4 linked regions of the Saccharomyces cerevisiae S288C genome follow. The gene in region 3 interacts genetically with the main gene of each other region. Each region holds a gene or a part of one and is shown on either strand. Other genes may lie near its edges.

The links.
Region 1: mutations in GOS1 (region 3) and SFT2 together harm fitness more than expected from each alone (negative genetic interaction), as found in Saccharomyces cerevisiae (3 studies listed by BioGRID).
Region 2: mutations in GOS1 (region 3) and ARL3 together harm fitness more than expected from each alone (negative genetic interaction), as found in Saccharomyces cerevisiae (4 studies listed by BioGRID, with this or other methods).
Region 4: mutations in GOS1 (region 3) and GTA1 together harm fitness more than expected from each alone (negative genetic interaction), as found in Saccharomyces cerevisiae (3 studies listed by BioGRID).

What each region holds. Positions count from the first base shown.
Region 1 is NC_001134.8:21,274-26,832, forward strand, and holds SFT2 (Sft2p), read left to right. Parts: upstream 1-2,824; coding exon 2,825-3,472; downstream 3,473-5,559. Other genes in the region: SEA4 (Sea4p), read right to left, coding at 1-20; RTG3 (Rtg3p), read right to left, coding at 803-2,263; ECM21 (Ecm21p), read right to left, coding at 3,673-5,559. UniProt on the Saccharomyces cerevisiae protein: Nonessential protein required for the fusion of transport vesicles derived from the endocytic pathway with the Golgi complex. Can be partially replaced by GOT1.
Region 2 is NC_001148.4:456,787-462,348, forward strand, and holds ARL3 (Arf family GTPase ARL3), read left to right. Parts: upstream 1-3,176; coding exon 3,177-3,773; downstream 3,774-5,562. Other genes in the region: KTR6 (putative mannosyltransferase), read right to left, coding at 332-1,672; mannosyltransferase complex subunit MNN9, read right to left, coding at 3,993-5,180. UniProt on the Saccharomyces cerevisiae protein: Involved in the targeting of ARL1 to the Golgi. Can bind and hydrolyze GTP.
Region 3 is NC_001140.6:38,315-41,394, forward strand, and holds GOS1 (Gos1p), read right to left. Parts: upstream 1,173-3,080; coding exon 501-1,172; downstream 1-500. Other genes in the region: GUT1 (glycerol kinase), read right to left, coding at 1-194; ECM29 (Ecm29p), read left to right, coding at 1,770-3,080. UniProt on the Saccharomyces cerevisiae protein: Involved in transport from the ER to the Golgi apparatus as well as in intra-Golgi transport. It belongs to a super-family of proteins called t-SNAREs or soluble NSF (N-ethylmaleimide-sensitive factor) attachment protein receptor.
Region 4 is NC_001137.3:67,621-75,305, forward strand, and holds GTA1 (Gta1p), read left to right. Parts: upstream 1-2,857; coding exon 2,858-5,728; downstream 5,729-7,685. Other genes in the region: threonine aldolase GLY1, read right to left, coding at 9-1,172; IES6 (Ies6p), read left to right, coding at 2,137-2,637; GDA1 (guanosine diphosphatase), read left to right, coding at 6,151-7,685.

The sequences.
Region 1 (5,559 bases), on a different chromosome or scaffold from region 3:
ACTTTTTTGATGAGACCCATGTTTATTCTTCTATACGTTCGTGATACTGCACTTACGACTACCAGTAACATCAGAATAACCATAGAGCTTATGCTATCTTGAAATATATCATCGCCGTAAAGTATGATGTGTAGCGCATTAGTCTTCTGCATTCATATTATCAGTGGTATACCGTTTGGTATATGCTTTCCAATCATGAAGTGTTGGCTCTACTCTATATAAATTCGACATCCATTGATTTTCTCAATAAATGAGTTACCCAAGTAAGCTTTCCATTGATACAAGTGATCTACATTCTTGCGACGCCAAATTATAAAGCACTAAAAATCATATCATACCCAATTGCGGGCAGCACATGTATATATTATACACTACTTATAACTAACCTTCTTCATATATAACAATATGCCTGATAATACTAATGCATTTAAATCATATCATGAAAGAAAATTACATGGGTTTTATTGACATAATTGCATTTAGAATACATAAAATTCTAAAGAATTAATATATCCAAAGTATTAGACATAACCAAGAATAATAGTGAATAATTTTAGATTTTGTTACATATAATTCTGCTTGCCTATCTCTTCCACTCTTTTCAAAACGTTGCATGTAAGCGTTACTAATATTCCGCTTTATTTTGTTGCAATTCCTAATTTTTTCATTACATTATCTTGCGAGTACGGAAGCGATTAACGTTCTCCCAATAGAAGGAACAAACATAGATATTGAAGTTTTACTGCTTTTGCTTACCTGACCTTTTTCAAATTTAATTTTTTCCCGCTAATAAGACCATAAACTACCCCGAACCAAATTCTAAAAGATAGTCAGCTGGATTAGAGTTGTCATCTCCAAACATTAATTTTGCATTATCTTCGGCTTCAATCAAATCGCCTGATAAGAACTCCTTTAATTCTTCATGAATGTTTGTATGTGGATGACTCTCCATAGTGCCAGCATGATTGTGGTTACCGACCGAATCATATAACGGTGGCTCCCAATTGTGCAATTCAGCCTTACTATTTTGTTCATTCATCAAAGCATTTGGGACAGATCTAATATCTATAATTCTTTCCTCACTATTCTCGCTATTATTTTGCCCCGAACTGGCATGGTGGTTATTGGTAAAAGGAGATAATGCTGCGACAGAACTTTTCTTCTCTTCCAATTCTTTTATCTTCGCCAATAACGCCTTCTTTTTTCGTGCTTGTATTTCTAAAATTTCGGCCAGGTATTGTAAATATTCGACCGTTCTATCCAAAATGATACCCTTATTTGGTTTGATTTGTTTACCTAGGTCATCGTAATTCAATAAAGATGGTGGAACCAACTGGCCGAGTTCTTTTATCTTTTGCTTTATTAATTCTCTTCTTCTCCTTTCGACGGCATTATGAAACTCTCTTTTGCGCCTCAGTTTCTCATCAGAAGTTAACCCGCCTAAAATCTTTGGAACACTTCCAGGTCCTATATTTTCAGTCATATTGCTACTTATTGAAGTGTGTCTTGTTCTGGGTGTGTTTATGCTACCATGCCTAAAAGAAGATGAAAGGAAACTTCCTGCACGAAATGACGATGATGGTGATCTTACCTTTGGGGAATATGTGGAAGATACGGATGCTGGGCCCAAGCTTTGTGGATTATAAGAAAATGATGATGAATATGTGTTTGGTGTCATCATATCAGAATTGATGCTAGAAGATAAAGAGGAGCTCAAATCATCAGTTAAGTTATACATTGTGTCATCGGTGCCATGCTGAAATAAAAAGTCATGTGGTAACTCAGCTTTTAAGCCTTCTTGTTGCTGTAATGGAGTATTCATTGCTCTATCCACAGGTGAGTCGTAAGCCATAGAATAAGATGATCTCAAGGGACCCTGCCCTATGGAAGATATGGAATTTTGAGTGACAGGTCTACCGCCTTGGCTTGTTCTAAACATATCATCCAGGTAAGACGATTGCGATTCTGCTTCCTCATATATGGTCGAAGCTGTAGGAGTTTGTGAATTGGACCTCGCTTGACTGCCCATTAAGTTATTATTATCGTTAGAGTTGTGCGTATTGATGTATGAGAGTTTTTCATGCTGTTGGGCAGGAGTCTCACCACCTGGGTAGGCACTTCCGTGTATCTTGTAATCATCATTGTGGTGTGGAGTGGGTGTCACTAACGAAAAATCTAAAGTTTCCTGGAGGACTTTTGTCTGGTTCATTAATTCGTCCAGTAGACGTTGGTTCTCAGCCTCACTTTCGTTATTGTTCATCATTCTTCACTTATTTAAGAAGTAGGTTCGCCTGACAAAAAATAAGAGTATTCTATTAAAGGATACTTGTCAACTAAGTAATGTGAATGCAGTAATGTCGTTTTTGTTATCTTATATATGCTCACGTAAGACAGAAATTCGGATTGTGAAAAATTCCTTGATGATTCCGTGCAGCCTCTAGCCAAAATAGCAACTGCGAGTAAAAAATAATGTACTAACCTGCAGTAATATTGGAGATCCTACTGTCCGGACCGAGTAGTACAATTGTTAGTTTCTGTTGCTCATAAGAAGGCTTTTCTAATCACCATGGCTTTATTATTTCAAAAGTAACTTGCGAAGAGTCACATCCCGCGGAACGGCCCGCAATCGTGACCCGGCAAAAGGCGATTGTAATGAAGAGGGAGTATTGGTCAAGACTTGTACTATACTGAAATAGGAAGAAGATTGAATAAATTTGCATTCTAATTGCGTTCGGTAGTTTAGAGTAGGACTTAGATTACCTGTATTGTCTGCAGTTGCGTTTTTTTTTTTTGCTGGTAAAAAAAAAGAACAAGTGTGGAGAATATGAGCGAGGAACCACCTTCTGACCAGGTCAATAGTCTCCGTGACTCATTGAATCGATGGAATCAAACAAGACAGCAGAACTCGCAGGGTTTTAATGAATCTGCGAAGACATTGTTCTCAAGCTGGGCGGATTCTCTCAATACCAGGGCCCAGGATATATATCAGACGTTGCCTGTATCTAGACAGGACTTGGTGCAAGACCAGGAGCCGTCGTGGTTCCAATTGTCAAGAACGGAAAGAATGGTACTTTTTGTCTGTTTTCTTTTGGGTGCAACAGCCTGTTTCACTCTTTGTACTTTCCTTTTCCCCGTTCTAGCCGCTAAACCAAGAAAGTTTGGTTTACTATGGACAATGGGGTCCCTACTATTTGTTCTTGCGTTTGGGGTACTTATGGGACCACTCGCGTACTTAAAACATTTGACTGCAAGGGAAAGGCTGCCTTTTTCGATGTTCTTTTTCGCCACATGCTTCATGACGATTTATTTCGCAGCCTTTTCCAAGAACACGGTGCTGACTATTACATGTGCTCTTCTTGAATTAGTTGCCGTCATTTATTATGCTATTTCATATTTCCCATTCGGTGCAACAGGTTTGAGGATGTTAAGCTCTGCTGGTGTCAATTCGGCAAGAGGTGTTCTGCGCATCTGAATTATCATTCATAGTGCATATTGAATTGATTAGTTGAAGAAGAAAAATAATGTTTATGTTATAAGAAACAATAATAAAGAGATTTATAACCTAACCTAATTAAATAGCATGTAGTCAACAAAAAGGGAGTAAAACATGCAGTGGCTCTATATATATAATTATCGTAGAATAATTCAAAAAAAAATAAAAAACGAAAAAATTCATTCTTCATCACTCATCAAAGGCACTATTTCGTCATAACGCGGAGGCTCGTTACCATGAGAGAGTAGCGAATCTGCGGAGCTCGAACTTACTATTCCTTCTTGTTCTTCATCATCTTTTACATTCGCTAAAGTGTAACCCTTTTTGAAAAATTCGTTCTGTTTGTCCTTAGAGTTTTCAGTGGTAGCGTTTGGAATCCTCACAGTACCATTTGCTTGTGATAAGCCATTTGTTGGTGATGAATTGTGAGATCTATTGACGGGCGATGGAGTGCTCAATAATTTATCGAGATTATTGAATCTTGACCTGTCATTCACTGACGTTGCTCTTGCTCTAGCAACACCTTGGCCACTATTGCCCGAAACAAATGCGGAATTCGAAATACTGCCGTTCATGGCATTGGCATTTGAAATACTGTTCCGATTAACATTTGGCACACCGGCATCATCGCTGTATCCGGATGGCCCACTAACTGACGTAGTTCTTGATAAGTTCAATTGTTGAATAGATAGTAAATCAGGGTCATACGAGGCCATGATATTAGGTGATCCCATCGGTGAGACAATGGGAGAAGCTGGAACGGATATGGCTTCTTCAAAAGTTGGCGGAGGTGGACATGTGTTACCAAAAAAGTCGCTGTTCATACTTAGAGGAACCTGGTTGCCTTTGCCTTCCATTGTGGCCATATCATAAGTGGGTAACTCCATATTACCACTGTTGCACTGTTCAGACACCAGGAATATGGGCGTATCGATTAGAACCTCATAATGTCTTAATTTGGACGGACACTCAGGATCAGGTTTACTGATTCGTAGCATAATTTCCAGCTTATGTCTACAGTAAACATTACTGAAGTGTAAACTATCCAAGTACAAGCCTCTTTTCGGTGTGTTTAATCTGGTATGTGTTTTCACGGGCAAACCAGAATTGGATTTGATTATTGTTTGATGGAATTTTGGATCATAAACAGGTTTTTCATTTTCTTCATGACTTTTCGAGCCTTTATGACCGGATAAAAAGCCTATTACACTGGGACGACGGTGTGAGGGTCCATTGGCTACGGCATGTTCGGGATTGGGGATGCTCGTGTATGCATCGATACCATAAGGTGGTATTATCTTTGCGGTTCTTTTATCCAAATCTTCGTATTTGGGGAACTTCAATTTTGTTTCAATAATTATTGGTTCCGTTATACCGAGCCTTTCTTTCGGATTGCCTTTTGAATCGCTGTCGTCATCAAAAGGACTATAAGATAAGAGATTGTCATTGAATGAATTTTCAACAATTTCCTCCCTTAGAGCTCTCGTGCCCTTCTCCTTAGTTCTGATTTCAAATAATGATACACTTCTTTCCTTTCTTCTCTTGGAGGCGAAATCTAAATAATACGGATTATAAGGGTCTTTAGCAACGGGATCTGTTTGATCATACTCATATTCATAACCTTTACTAACAAATGTGACTCTTTCAGTAATACTGACATGAATACGTTTAACACAAACGTTTTTGCATATCGGTGCCAATTTTATCTTGATTGGGACTTCACTGTTTAGTGAAACGTATTTCTGAGCAAAGGAAATCTCGTATGACAAAGAATCTGTCCAAACCCTATTAATATAGATTGGTTTATTCGCAGTGGATACGGCAACGGGCGGTGGAGTTCTAATAACTTTTATTGGATACTCTGCGAAAATGTCCTCTTCTCCTGATTCTTCATTTTTCAGTTGATGTGAGCTCATGTGTAGATGATTTTTAACTTTACTAAACAAAGTGTTGCTTATCCTCCTATGGGCCTGAGCGGATTCTGTTTCGGTAAGTTTTAATGAAGATGTAGTGGAGCTTAGTGATGAAGAAGAGTCTGGCGACACAATAGGTTGCGGAGAGTTTGA
Region 2 (5,562 bases), on a different chromosome or scaffold from region 3:
ACATTTCATTGTATGAGTTGGATTCTTTTAATTTTATTTTAAAATACGGTTGCATTTTGCATAGTAATATCCAACCAATTATTTACTGAAATTTGAAATTTGATTAAAAAAGTCAAACCAAAAAAACTACGACAATACATGAAGCTCTGAATCTTCTAGCCTAGTCATTTTATATATATATATTCACCTCCTCTCGATACGTTCCATCATAAGTTAGTTTTGTTTTTCTCTTTCTCGCGATCCTAATTAAAAATTAAATAAAATAAATAAATACATATGTATATATATTCATATGTAGAAGATTATTGTTCTTATACATCAGTGTTTTGATTTATGGTAACCTATCCCAACCTTCTGGCTTATCTTTCTTCATAATGTCGAAGTAATGTCCGCCACATGAACCACTTCTAAACGTGAAATCGTTACCCTGGTCACAGTTACAATTATATTGGTTCCATATATCATCGTTTAGGGGACAGTTATTGTACTTGTCATAATGGAATCCTATATTTTCGAAAAAATGTATTTTATCCTTTGGCAACAGCATCGATAACCCAATTGTGTGGATGATGGAATCAGACCATTTCCAGTAGAAAATACCGCCCTCTTCGTCGATGTAATTAAAAAATTTCCTGTAAGCTGGCGATCTATAAAAGTTCAAATTACCAATTTCAAAATTTGATGTGAATTCACAGTTGTTAAAATCTTCAGAGTCCTTTTTTGTAATAAATGACTTGAAATTATTCTCGGAAATAAACTTTGGAAAATCCTTTGCAAATTTTTTCGTAACATCCCAAATCTTCTCATTGGCTTCCTTAGCTTCACTCATACTCAATGTGAAACCAAACACTTTGCCTTCATCTTGCATCCACCTAAAAAGGTCATGATCAATATCACAGTACAATTTAATACCAGGGTCTACTCTCCAGTACCAATCAAACTCATCCAGAACTGGATGCCTCCAAAAAAACCCTGCAAAATATCTAGCTTGATATCTTACAGCTCTAGAATCACCATCCGGTACATTTGCTAATGAAATTAGCGATTCTGCTGCTTTATTTTCATCAATCCATTCAGGGTATACCCATTCGTCTGCAGGAATTTCAGCAAATTTAATATTAATTAACTCAGGATCACCATTCATAGAATCAGTTATGGCTTGACGAATCATTTCTTGCTTCATTCCGTCAAGCTCCCCCTGACTAATAAAAACCCAAGGATAAGCAAAATTTTTGTTAAACTTCACCTGCACTTCATCAATAGATTGTAAGATTTGGGTCATGGAATCCCTTTCAGTAATTAGTGAGACAAAGCACGCCTTTGGTGGTGATCCTCTATGATTGATATACGATGGCACCATGAACCCTAGCGTCGTTTCATTACCACCATAAGATTTGATCTTTTCCTTAATGGCATTCACGGTGGCATTTCTAATGGCCTCTCCCTCTAAAGATTGCTTCAATTCGGCTTCTTCCTGTTCACTTTGTATACGCCTTTGTTCCTCTGCACTAATTTTTGCAATAGGTTGCAAAGATTTCGGAAGGTATGGTGTAACATACTGTTCAGACATCTGCTTTGTTTTTGGATGATTTATTGTCACCATTAGCGCAAGCACGAAAACAAACGAAATCAACAGAAAGCGTGCTATTTTTTTGCTCAGCAGTACGTGCATCTTACCTTATCTTATCTTCACTAAAGGGCACAAAAGGTTGGGTGAACGCTTAGTATCCCTCTAGTCTTGTATACTCGTACACATTATAAGTACATTTAACAAATCTCATCCACATTTCTCGAATAAATATCACATGTAACTTGAAGGTTATTTTTATATTTTTTTTTCCTGTGAAGGAACAACTCGTGTCTCACGAGAGCGCCACTTAAAAAACGAAAAGATAATCGGCGATGACTATATATGTATGTGATTGAGAATAAAAATATGGAAAGATAAAAGACCTAGTAACGTTGTATTTCAATAGTGAGGATAACATAAAGAAGTAAAAAGATCTTTGAAAATGTATGAAGTAATACAGAAAAGGAAAACAAAAATAATAAACGTTTTACAGAGTCCTGAACTCATGAGGCTCATAGAGGACCCATCAAATCTGGGTATTTCTTTACATTTTCCAGTAAGTTCACTGCTAAAAAGTAATAAGTGCACACCAATGCCTAAACTTTCTACGTATAGTTTGGCTAGTGGGGGATTTAAGGATTGGTGCGCGTGACATCCCTCTAGACGTTCCACCAGAGATTGATATCATCGATTTTTACTGGGATGTTATTTTATGCATGGAATCTCAATTCATATTAGATTACAATGTTCCGTCAAAAAATAAGGGGAACAATCAGAAGTCTGTTGCTAAGCTGTTGAAAAATAAGCTTGTAAACGATATGAAAACTACGTTAAAAAGACTAATTTATAATGAAAATACCAAGCAATATAAAAATAATAATAGCCACGATGGTTACAATTGGAGAAAACTAGGCTCGCAGTATTTCATACTGTATCTTCCCCTATTTACGCAGGAACTGATTTGGTGTAAACTTAATGAAAACTATTTCCATGTTGTATTACCATCTTTACTGAATAGTAGGAACGTTCATGATAACCACAGTACCTATATAAATAAAGATTGGTTACTTGCCCTTTTAGAGCTAACTTCCAACCTGAACCAAAACTTCAAATTCGAATACATGAAATTGAGATTGTATATTTTAAGAGATGATTTAATTAATAATGGTTTGGATCTTTTGAAAAATCTTAACTGGGTCGGTGGGAAACTGATTAAAAATGAAGATAGAGAAGTCTTGTTGAACTCGACCGATTTAGCTACGGATTCTATTTCTCATTTATTAGGTGATGAAAACTTTGTTATTTTAGAGTTTGAATGCTAAGCAGTTATATTCAGTTAGAAGCATATATCCCACCATTAAATAAGTTAACATACTACTGCATTTTTATTTTATGTTTAAGAGCAGATACGTCAATGTAGCTTGCATATGTACGTATCCTCCCCCACCTCCTATTTTCTACTTTGAACTTTATGGGAGTGTTAGTATAAGAAATATGTTTACACCTTTTTCAGACAAATGTAAACGGAAAATTAAAAAACGAATTCAGATCGATGTGTTAATCAAGTAGATGAAGGAGAATAAAGCATATAAAGCGCACCGCACACATGTTTCATTTAGTCAAGGGACTTTACAATAATTGGAATAAAAAGGAACAATATTCAATTCTAATATTAGGTCTAGACAATGCAGGCAAAACGACGTTCTTGGAGACATTGAAAAAGGAATACTCTCTGGCGTTCAAAGCCTTGGAAAAGATACAGCCTACGGTAGGACAAAATGTGGCGACAATACCCGTTGACAGTAAACAGATCTTGAAGTTTTGGGATGTAGGTGGTCAAGAATCACTGAGATCAATGTGGTCCGAATACTATTCCCTATGTCATGGTATAATTTTCATTGTGGATAGTTCAGATAGAGAACGATTAGACGAATGTTCCACGACCCTACAGTCAGTTGTAATGGATGAAGAAATTGAAGGTGTACCCATCTTGATGCTGGCCAATAAACAAGATAGACAAGATAGAATGGAAGTACAAGATATAAAAGAAGTATTTAATAAGATTGCGGAACATATAAGCGCTAGAGATAGTAGGGTTTTACCAATAAGCGCATTGACTGGAGAAGGTGTTAAAGACGCTATAGAATGGATGATTGTTAGACTAGAAAGGAATAAAAAGTCAAGACCACCGATTTATAAATGATAAAGAAGCACCAAAAGAAATAAAATGTGAATGGTTTATTCTCAAGCTCAGAAATTAGTTGTTGTAGCACTTTTTATTCGGCATTTTTTAATATACATGTGTAAATTATATATATATATATATGAATATATATCTTGTTTTGTTTATTTTCAACTAATAATCGCAACAATATTATCTTTCAATAACGCTATAGCTTCTGTATGCTTTTTGCTCAGTTGCTCAATGGTTCTCTTCCTCTATGTGATAAACCAAATAGTTTGGTAAGCCAAATACATCGTAGTTTAATCTCTTCGCCATCTTAGCAAAACCTTCTGTTTCAATCAAGTGATAAAATGGGAAATTAGGGAACATGGCACCGTCTCTGTGAACTTCTGCTTTGACCAAAGTACAGCCTCCACCAACACCATCCAGCGCCATCTCTTCACCTGGTACGCCATTAGCATCGTAGAAATGAGCCATTAATGGCCTATAAGTGGCAATTTCTGCATAACCCTCGACAATAATCTCGTCATCACCCATCTGAGAGGCTATTTCTAAACCGGTGTCACTTTCTTGCCAGTTGTTGAAATCGTATGGTCTGATTGATGGTTGCTTCTTCTCTTCATCGTAAAATCTTTGATAAATGTTTGCAGCTAAGATAGCTTTGTTGTGTTTGGTCATGTCTTGAATTAAAGATGGTGGTGTCTCTATAATATCGGCATCTAGCCACAGCACCCAAGAAGTGTGAGGTCCTATGGTGGAGAATAGTAATTCATTGCGCGCCAAAGCCATTGCTGCACGTCTTTCCTTTTGAACATCTAAAGCGTGTCTTTCCTTCTCCATCAACTTATCAAAACTCTGGGAATTCTGTCGCAAAATAGTAATTTTACTAAATCTTTGAGTTTTCTTGTCCGTTTGAACCTTTTTAATAGCATTCTCCAATTTCTTTAAGGCCAAGTCACCAGTGGCTGTTCTTGGTGTAATGAACCCCAATTCAATCAATTCCCGAGGGTAATTTAGCTGCAGCAAATTGTCCCAGTATTGTTGATGAAATGTTTGCATTGGAGTCAATATCAAAATATGCTCCTTATTGACAGCTGCTTCTGACGTAGAGTGCAATTTGTTCAAATCATAATGTGCAATATGACCTTCTGGGATAATATCTTCCACGTGATCGTTGAACAACCAGCCGCTTTTTTTCTTATAAGAGTACTTTGGCATTTTGTATTTCTTGGTGAAGGGAAAATAAAATGTGTTTTCCTTTTCGTGTGCCCATTTGTGTTGGGAAATGGACTGGCCATTAAGTCCCAACAGAGATTGATCTCTCTGGAAAAAAATTATATATATTAGAAATATGGCCAAAACAGGTAGAAAAATGTTAACCCACGGGTTCTTTCTTAGGCGGTACGATACAAGAGAAAGTGACATTGTTTCCTAACTTTTTATTCTAGCTCTTTTAAATTCTTCTGTTTGAAAAATACTAAAATTGATGCTATTCTCTTCTTACTTTCACAAAGTGCGGAAGGAAAAATAGGTTCAGAAATAACGGGTCCCAAGAGCGGCTAACAGAAAATAATAAAAGCTTTTCTACCAATTGAGAATCCGCTTGGTTGACGACTTTTCCTCCTTTATTATTCTTGATTTGGTGTTCTGTTTTACTTATATCAAAATACTTCAACGCCAAATCCGCTACAACGATGGAAAGGAAAAAAAAAAAAAAAAAAAAAAGACAAACCAATGCTGTCGTGTCTAGTGACGATAAAGGCTGTAACTATTAATAAGGTGAATACTCACCCTCATCTTTTAGTTT
Region 3 (3,080 bases):
TTGAACAGAATGCATCTGGATGAGGTCGTTCCTACATCAATACTGGCGATAAGCGGGACGTAGTCACTTCGTAAATCTTCCATTATTTTGGACATACGGCTCTGTTCTTGTTTTAAACTAGTGTAAAGGCGCTGGCTTGATCGGAATATGTAACGTTTGGAGAATACTACAAGTCGGAAGAGAGAGGGAAACATATAACTATTTGTATAGTTCCGGCCACAACTCAAACCACATGGTATATTTTATATGGTTCGAGAACAGGCATCCCCCCACATTTTATTACACCTTATCCGTTCTAAAAGTCTTGGCTGTCTTTTTTTCCTTTCCTTTTCCTTTTTTTTTTTTCAATTTTTTTGTCAATGCAGTCAGCCCCTCACTATGCTACTCCACACCCTTTAATTGATGGTTTTACTCCAATTAGAAGAGAAGAATTACGAAATGGCCTGTATGGGTAGATTCTTGTTATGTTTTTACATACGTTGTTTAATAAAAGTCGTTATTTACCATGTGAAAAACAAAAACAGTATACAAAGGGTGGTTATCGTGGCCAATACAAACGCGTTTTTCTTCCTTCTCGTGTTAATCTTCATAATAAGCTGATTGACACCTGGTATTCTTTGTAAAGTTTGCAACACCTTGTTGTTTGCCGTGTTCAGCACGTTGCTCTGCGAGTGGAACTGCGACCGAGTCTCCCAGGCTTGGGAGATGAGACGGTCGACTACGTTGTTGGACTGATCGATTCGCCTTGTTTCGTTCTGAATGTACTCGTCAGCATCCCCTATAGGAGCTGGCGCGTCCGTTGTGGAATTAGCAATATCGTTCTTCACGCTGAATAACAAGTTTAGTCTGTTGCGCTCTTGCTGGATGGAGGACCTGATATTGCGGAAGCTCTTCCAGTGGTCTTGTAAGATCTCCTTGTGGCGGTGCAGTTGGGAAAGCTTTGAGGCGGAGATTGCCGGGTTAGAATCGCAGATTTGTGTTAATGAATCGATTACATCCTGTCTCTGGCCTAAGATTCCCTCCAACTGCTTGTCTATCTTCTTTTCTTGGCCAGTTTGTTCTGAACTAGTTGTCTGCGCGAATGTGGAGTACTTGGAAAGAAGTGACTCCGTTTGTGTTTCTAGAGAAATGGCCTTGCCCCTTATGGTGACGAAAGACGGTTGTGAGCTCATGTGGTGTGGTTGCTTGTCTGGAATTGGGCTTTTCCCTGTGTCTAGTTAGTTTATTTTTTCCTTGTCTTTTTATCTCTTTTTTTTTGTTTTTCGTTCTCTTTATTTTCAACAACGCCTAGAAAATTTGGTTACCAACCACACTATTGAACAAAGATAACTAACTGATTGAACAAGAGTAGGCGTCTTACACTGGGTTTGCAAGTGTCATTGACTTTTGTTGCATTGCTGTGAAATGCACATTCGGAGCAGTTGAAGGTCTCTTGCTGAATGCTCACATATTTTCAAAATATTGTTTTGGCTGCGGAGTTTGTGCCTGATCAGTAACTACCAATCTCGTGAGATTTTTCATAAGCATCTTTGAAAGCTTTTATACTTATTTGATCTTTGTATATATCAGGTTTTACCAGTTTAGCCGCCAGAGTTTTGGTATTTATGTGTTACCCGGTATATCCATATGCCTTTTCTTGGTGGCAAAAAAAAGGTACTTCCTGATATAAAGAAGCTGGTAAGCTCTCGATAACTGATCTCTTTGTCTTTGTGCAGGATTGGATAATACAATAATTATAGAAAAGTTTCTATTTCACCACGAACAACATTATGTCCATTTCTTCTGACGAAGCGAAAGAAAAACAGCTCGTGGAGAAGGCAGAATTGCGCCTGGCTATCGCAGATTCCCCTCAAAAGTTCGAAACTAATCTGCAGACTTTTTTGCCTCCATTATTACTAAAACTCGCCTCTCCACATGCCTCCGTTAGAACAGCAGTATTTTCAGCCTTAAAAAACCTCATTTCTAGGATAAATACGCTGCCCCAGGTTCAGCTTCCTGTGAGGGCGCTTATTGTCCAAGCAAAGGAACCCAATTTAGCCGCTCAACAAGACTCGACCAATGTCCGCCTTTACAGTCTGCTACTGGCGTCTAAAGGCATAGATAGGCTTTCCTTGCAAGATAGACAGCAGTTGCTACCGTTAGTCGTTTCGAACATCTCGTGTCTAACAGGCACAGTAGCCGCCAGAATGTTCCACATCCTTTTGAAGCTTATTTTGGAATGGGTTGCACCCCAGGAGTCTTCACATGAGCAGGAAGAATTTGTTCAGTTCCTTCAACTGGACAACGACGGTTTTTCGTTTTTGATGCGCCAATTTACCAGGTTTTTTCTGCTGGTACCTTCAAAGCAAGTCCAGGTTTCTCAACAGCCCCTGTCGAGAGGTTACACATGTCCGGGCCTATCTCTAACTGATGTGGCATTCTTTACTTATGATGCGGGCGTTACTTTCAACAAAGAACAGCTGAATAAGTTCAAAAAGGCTATTTTTCAATTTGTTTGCCGTGGCATGGCGGCTACCCAAACTATTGAGCAGTCACCTAGGATGATTGAACTGATGGAATTTTTGTGCGTTGTCTCTACGGATTCTACAAATTTATCTGATGATGCGGCTCAGTTCATGAAACGGTTTCCCATGCCTTATGAAAACGAAGAGTTCATCACCTTTCTTCAGACGCTGTACATCGGCAACACAGCAAATGGAAGACCGCCGGTCAAGGCTATCTTGCAAGAAAAAATCCTGTCCATATTAAACAGAAGTCACTTCGCCACCACCAAAGCAGAATGTATTTCGTTGATTTGCTCTATTGGATTGCATTCATCTGAGTATAAACTTAGATCTTTGACTCTTTCTTTTATTCGACACGTAGCAAAATTAAATTACAAAAATTTAAATCCTGCTTCTTCATCACCTTCATCAACAGACTTTTCCACTTGTATTGTTTCCTTGATTAGAAATAATCTTCATGCCGAAGGTTGGCCGAAGTTACAATTGGGGCCTCAGACCCCAGCTTTCAATACAGCCATTCTGCAGAGACAGCTGCAATATGAAACATTGGGTGATATCTTGAAAAGAGATTTTGAG
Region 4 (7,685 bases), on a different chromosome or scaffold from region 3:
GGAACGCATCAGTATTTGTAGGTTTTTATTTCGCGGATAGCGTTGCCATCAACGTCGACCTCGGTGGATTCACTACGGTAAATCTGGGTAGGTCCGTTACAGTCGAAAGGATGTTCTTTAGCATAGTCGAAGGCCTCGGAGATGGCCAATTTGACTTTTTCCAAAGTATCTCTGGTGACTTGATAGTGGAACGAGACTCTACCACCCATTAGCTTAACGTTGTACTTCAAACCCTTCTTAACAAGGACATCTGGGTCCATTCTAGCGGCCTTCAGGTTAATAAAGACAAAGTTGGTGTCTGCTGGAGACTCTAGCGGGATGCCCTTTGCCTCACAATATTCGGCTAATTCATGAGCCAAAGAGTGCGAGTACAGCAATTGGGACTTCCAATCGTTGTTGATGTTTACAAGAGCCATTCTAGCCATCATACCAGATTGTCTAATACCACCACCTTGTTGTTTTCTGAAATGGGTGGCCTTCTTGACAAACTTAAGGTTCCCAACCAAGACGGACCCAATAGGAGCACCCATAGACTTGGATAGACAGATGGAGATGGAGTCGAAGATTTCCCCATATTGCTTTAATGGCACGCCAGATTGTGCAGCGGCATTCCAGATTCTGGCACCGTCACAATGTAGTTTGAGACCATTTTCCATACACCAAGCTTTGATGCGGACCAGTTCTTCCAATGGATAAACAATACCGTGTAAAGTGTTTTCCAGAGAAATCAATCTGGTGGGGGCACCGTGAATATCACCGTCGTCTGGGACGTAGTGTGACTTGATGTCTTCCAAGGTCAAGTAGTCACCGTTGGAAGGAACCACAGGAACCACCATCGCTTGAGACAAGATCGCCAGTCCAGCGGCTTCGTGAGTGTAAACGTGAGCCCTGTAATCACATAGAATAGAGTATGGAGGTTGCATCAAGTGAGTTCTGATGGCAATCTGGTTGGACAAAGTCCCAGAGACACAGAACAAACCTGCTTCTTTGCCAGCCATGCGGGCAACGGTCTGTTCGAGCCTAACGGTGTCAACATCTTCACCGTAGACAGCGTCACCGATAGAGGCCTCTAAAGCGGCCTCCATCATCTCTGCAGTTGGAGTGGTGAATGTGTCTGACCGCAAGTCGTTAGCAGCGGTGATATATTTTGGAGGCAATTCGAATTCAGTCATTGTGTTTATGTTTGCGTTTGTGTGCGGGAGTAAAAGTGAGTGTAAGCCTAGGAAAGGAGGTGGTTACGAACTAGCCAGCGGAAACAATGTACGTATATGTATGTAAGTATTACTCTATACCAGACAGAACAAGATAGACGAGAAGGACACATGGAGGATTTGACAGGCAAGCTCAACACTTGCTTATATATATACACATATGTGCTATTGCAAATGCAAAAAGCGTATATCCAGTGAAGAAAAAGACGAAAAAAGACGAAGAAATAAAAAGAAAAACCGGTGAACGAATATGGCAAGTGAAAAAGTGCGCAATGAGTAATACAAAGGGCGAAGCAGCGGGAAAAAAGAAACGGCGCTGCTGCCCGGAAACCGGAAGCGAAGCTTTGTGGGGTACGGGTGCATGCTCGGCTTTTTCCAGATAGGGGAAGTGCCGTCGCCAAAAAGGCAAGGGTCCGTTTCGCGTGACATTTCATAGCGGGCCAAGCGTGGGTCACGTGCTGCACAGGCCTGCCGCTGGCATGATTTGTCAGCACATATACAACAAGAAGTATTGGTTGCGTTGAAGAAAAAAAGAATAGTAATAACAATTTGGGGCCGTGTGTAAAAAAAATAGGAAACAGCTACCCCGGCGTGCCGTGTGGCTCTCTGTGCGAAGGAAGGCCCTGTCGCCGCACATATTCGATGAATATCGATGACGACGACTACCTTCTGGTTGCATAGTTTATTAGTCTGTGCCTGTTCTTCGGCGAGTGAGTAGATGAAAGAAAGAATGAGTTAGAGAGAATTCTAGGCCAGGTTCGGCTTAGTTAAGCTTAGCTTACTTTGGGTTTACTTAGCGTGCTTTTTTTCTTCCGCGCTGAGACGGTGAGGAATGGAAGTGTAAAGAAGCGAACGAGGGAAAAAAAGTTGTGACCTAGGGGAAGGTTAAAATTGTCATCATCATCAGCGTGAGAAAGTCGAAACAATGAGCGGTAGTAGGGGCAATAGCAGCAATAGTAGCGTCAGTAATAATAGTAATAATAACAATAATAATGACGGGGGCGACGAGAGATTGCTGTTTCTAAGAAGCGTGGGCGAACGCAATGAAATTGGCTTTCCCTCTAGATTCAAGTCGGCGCATTACAAGAAACCGACAAGAAGACACAAATCAGCGAGGCAGTTGATCTCGGACGAAAACAAGCGGATCAACGCCTTGTTGACCAAGGCTAACAAAGCTGCAGAGAGTTCTACTGCTGCTAGGCGACTTGTGCCCAAAGCGACGTACTTTAGCGTGGAAGCGCCACCGTCTATCAGGCCTGCCAAGAAGTACTGCGATGTTACTGGGTTGAAGGGCTTCTACAAGTCGCCTACGAACAACATTCGGTATCACAACGCAGAAATCTATCAGTTAATCGTAAAGCCGATGGCCCCCGGCGTCGATCAGGAGTACTTAAAATTGAGAGGGGCCAACTTCGTTCTAAAATAGGCATTGTATATGTATGTATGTATTTTAGCTTGTAGACAACCTTTCACACTTACATAGTTTGTCGCTGGTCACGTGCGACAATGCAAAATAGTGTAGAGTAAAGCTAAAAAGGACAAGATAAAGTGAAAAAAAAATAATAAAAAAAAAAAAGGAATATTGTTAATGGAAAGCGTGTAAAGACACATTACGCTCCTACCTAGGACTACCAACACATGCATGGATGCCAGTCTCTGTAATAACCACGGTTTTAGCATGTCTGTGGCTCTCTTATAGGCTCTATAAGTTTCTCACTATTCCTGTGTCCAGCATCGTCTCCACTTTGAAGATCAAAACTCCACCGGCAACAAAAGTGTCTATCGACAAAATAGCCACGGATTCAGTGACCATTCATTGGGAGAACGAACCTGTAAAAGCGGAGGACAATGGCAGTGCGGATAGAAACTTCATTTCCCACTATTTGTTGTATCTGAATAACACACAATTGGCTATCTTCCCAAACAACCCAAACTCCCTTTACACATGCTGCTCCATCACGGGTCTCGAGGCGGAGACGCAGTACCAGTTAGATTTTATAACGATTAACAACAAGGGCTTTATCAATAAGCTACCCTCCATTTACTGTATGACGAAGGCGAGAGAGGCGAATGAAGCGTTAAAGACTAGAAAATGGAGAAGAAACACCATCACATCGTCCACAGCTATGCAGCCCAGAAACTCCAAGTCCGAACCCGCCCCGTTGCCCTCTCACTACTCCTCTGTTTCCCTGTCTACTTTCTCATCCAATATTACTAATAGCGCCACCAGCAATAATGGTTCAAATCTACCCGCTTACACATCTTTGACTACGTTGAAGGATTTGGATTCGTTTTCCATCGATGATCTGAAAAAGATACTGATTTGCGCCCAGGAGGACTTACACGATGTGTTGTCCCAACAAACTTCGCTTTTGCAAGATTTTCAAGAATCGAAGTTAGAATTAGAACTAGAACTGGATAACTTGAAAACACATTGGTCGCACGAAATTGACTTGCGGAAATCCTTGAAATCCAATATCAAGTCATTGGAGAATTCTAAACTATTGACCGATTTGAAAATCGAAAAATTGAACAAGAAAATCGACAAATCCAAGGAAAAAATATCGAAAATGCGCAATGATATGCAGAAATGGTCTCAGGAAGATACCGAGCTGTTGTCTAAGGATACCATAAAGGAGAAATATTTCAAATTGCTAAATGAATCCAATGCCTCTGTGGCCAATATCAACAAAGAAATTGAGTCTTTACAAAATGAAATTTCCAAGATGGAGGAGTCTAACAAGAGATTGAACGCCTCCAAAAAATCATTGATTACTTCCATAGTGGTGAATGCCAATGTGGAAAACGATAAACCTATTGCTAGCGGAGAATTGTCGGCTGTTTTGAAGAAGCTCAATGATTTTACTTTAGAAAAAAATGGATTTTTAAGTAATGCTGGTGAAGAGTTTCTATCCAAATTGAATGCAGACTCATCATTGATTAAAATGATTAAGCAAGAGCTAAGCATTGATCAAGAATTGGAGGCCAACTGGAAATTGCAGAGGTCAAATTTGTTGAAGAAAATTAGTGCTTTAGAAAACCAATTTAATGAAATGAGCCTTAATAATCGGAATTTGAAAACAAAATTAATGGTTCAACCATATAAGAATAACGGTGATTCGCTTGCTGCCACCAATTCGAATAATTCCGCGGAAAAAAACAGAAGTTCTGGATCGATTCAATTACCATTATCCAACAACATGTCAAGAACGGGGTCCATTGATTTAATATCGAATAATAACAAAAGTATTAACAACAGTAATGCTGATTCTGCTCCTCCGTTGAGGTTGCACAATCCAGTTTCGTACTCTCCTTCGAATGAACCCATACAACCTTCAAGCAGTCTATTGAGTCAATTGACACAGGACACCGATAATCGATCAATGCTCTCCAATCACATCTCATCGAACAACGAAAACAAGCAACAGCCTTCTTCATATTCACATGCTTTACCTACAACTGCTACTGCTAATGCAACAGCAACAGCAACAGCAACTAATGGTCACTCAAGGTCAAATTTATGGACCACCGCACAATTCGCTCAACCTTCGCATCAACAAGTATCTACAGAATTGGATCAAGCTTTTGAATACGATAATGCAAACCACTTAATCAGTGGTTTGCAAAATATGATCTACGACGAAACAGACTATCCTGATAACATAAGCAATTATTCCAAGGGTTTTACTACAGACGAACTTGACAATTACTGGACTAAGCAGCAACCCCAGGTGCGCAGCACAAATGAAAGTCTTTTCTCTACGACTGGAACACCTATGTCATCATATAAGGCTAACCCAGTAATATCTCCATATTCTAGTTCTCATTTGCGACAAACCTCCAACGCAACCAATACGAATCCTATGCATCCACAGAGTCTACTCGCCGCTACATTGAATGATCCTTCATTACAAAGTTTTGTACGCAGTGGTTCTTTCTACAGTGCTCCGCAACCTGCAAACTCCTTACAGAACAATATCAATGGCAATGAAACCGAGAACATTAGTCCAAGGATATCAAGTGACTTCAATTTATTGGTGCCAAACTTGAGCCCACGACTCTCAAACGATGTGCCCATTGTTCCAGGCAATAACACTACTTTAACACCTTCACACTCGAACATATTAACAATGAACCATCAACCAACGGCGGATAACATTACACGAAGATCTTTCCATGCCTCTTCACCACCTTTCAACTCCATATGGAATTCAAATACAAATCAACTTTCTCCTCCATTGGAGGAGCAGTATCACCTCGATGTGCCTGTGGGTCCAAAGGTTCCCGCTAAAGAACCAAGCCCTAAGCCTTCTCACAAGAGGAACCAAAGTAACAGCAGCATTTCTTCTGCATGGTCCAAGTTTAAGCACAAGTCTGCATCATCACCTGCTAATGCGGACACGGATATTCAAGATTCATCAACTCCATCAACTAGTCCAAGCGGTAGAAGAATGTCAAAACTGTTGTCCAAGAGCGGTATGAATAATCTATTTAACCCGCACAGTCACGACTCATGAACAATATTATAATACTTCCAGGTCGTGTATATATGTAGATATATAAATTATGAAACATAATATATGAAAGCAGTTTGAGCTTATTCTTAATCATCAATAGGGTAACGGTATTAATCTCATTTTTTCTTTTTTTTTTTCTTTTTATTTTGGCGTCTCGTCTCAATTTCATTTTTCCCATCTTTTTACAACTTCAATATGAAAAACATAACACATGAAAAATAACTGTCAACATTAATAATATTCCTTGCATAGTGCTTCGATTTTCCAAATATAAAAACAGTTTCTTTTACAAGCTTATTTAATTTTGGTTTTAAGGAGAAAGCACTAATAAAAAGGGCAAGGACTGCAATCAACAATCTTTATTGGCGAACAGTTAAGGGTCCTCTCGAGAAGAAACATTAAGACATCATCGCACAAAAAACATGGCGCCCATCTTTAGAAATTACCGGTTCGCTATCGGTGCTTTTGCCGTTATTATGCTCATTTTGTTGATTAAAACATCTTCCATCGGTCCACCTTCTATTGCACGTACAGTTACTCCTAATGCTAGTATTCCCAAAACTCCGGAGGACATCTCTATCTTGCCCGTCAATGATGAACCAGGTTACCTTCAAGATTCGAAGACTGAACAAAACTATCCTGAGCTTGCCGATGCTGTGAAGTCACAAACAAGTCAAACATGCAGCGAAGAACATAAGTATGTTATCATGATCGATGCCGGCTCTACCGGTTCCCGAGTACATATATACAAGTTTGACGTCTGTACTTCCCCACCTACATTACTTGATGAAAAATTCGACATGTTAGAGCCTGGTTTATCTTCTTTCGATACCGATTCCGTTGGTGCCGCTAACTCCCTTGACCCATTACTGAAAGTAGCAATGAACTATGTCCCTATTAAGGCAAGAAGTTGTACTCCCGTTGCGGTGAAAGCTACTGCAGGCCTAAGACTCTTGGGTGATGCCAAATCTTCAAAAATTTTGAGCGCTGTAAGGGATCATTTGGAGAAGGACTATCCTTTCCCAGTTGTCGAAGGTGATGGTGTTTCCATCATGGGCGGTGATGAAGAAGGTGTCTTCGCCTGGATTACTACAAACTACCTATTAGGTAATATCGGTGCTAATGGCCCCAAGTTACCTACTGCTGCCGTTTTTGACTTAGGCGGAGGGTCTACACAAATTGTTTTTGAGCCTACTTTCCCAATAAATGAAAAAATGGTCGATGGTGAGCATAAATTTGATTTGAAGTTTGGTGATGAAAATTACACCTTGTACCAATTTTCTCATCTAGGTTACGGTTTGAAGGAAGGAAGAAATAAAGTTAACTCTGTTCTTGTGGAAAATGCATTAAAAGACGGCAAAATATTGAAGGGTGATAACACTAAGACTCATCAATTGTCATCTCCATGCCTACCGCCTAAAGTTAATGCCACAAATGAAAAGGTTACATTAGAATCCAAGGAAACTTATACCATTGACTTTATAGGGCCGGACGAGCCAAGTGGTGCACAATGTAGATTTCTGACTGATGAAATTTTGAATAAAGATGCTCAGTGCCAGTCTCCACCATGCTCTTTCAATGGGGTTCACCAACCTTCTTTAGTTCGTACATTCAAAGAATCGAACGATATCTATATTTTCTCTTATTTCTACGACAGAACCCGTCCATTGGGTATGCCCTTGTCCTTTACTTTGAATGAATTGAACGATTTGGCAAGAATAGTGTGTAAAGGCGAAGAAACTTGGAATAGTGTCTTCAGTGGCATTGCGGGGTCCCTAGATGAATTGGAAAGTGACTCGCACTTCTGTTTGGACTTATCTTTTCAAGTGTCCTTATTACATACGGGATATGACATTCCATTACAAAGAGAATTGAGAACTGGAAAGAAAATTGCCAATAAAGAAATCGGTTGGTGTTTAGGTGCGTCATTACCATTGTTGAAAGCTGATAACTGGAA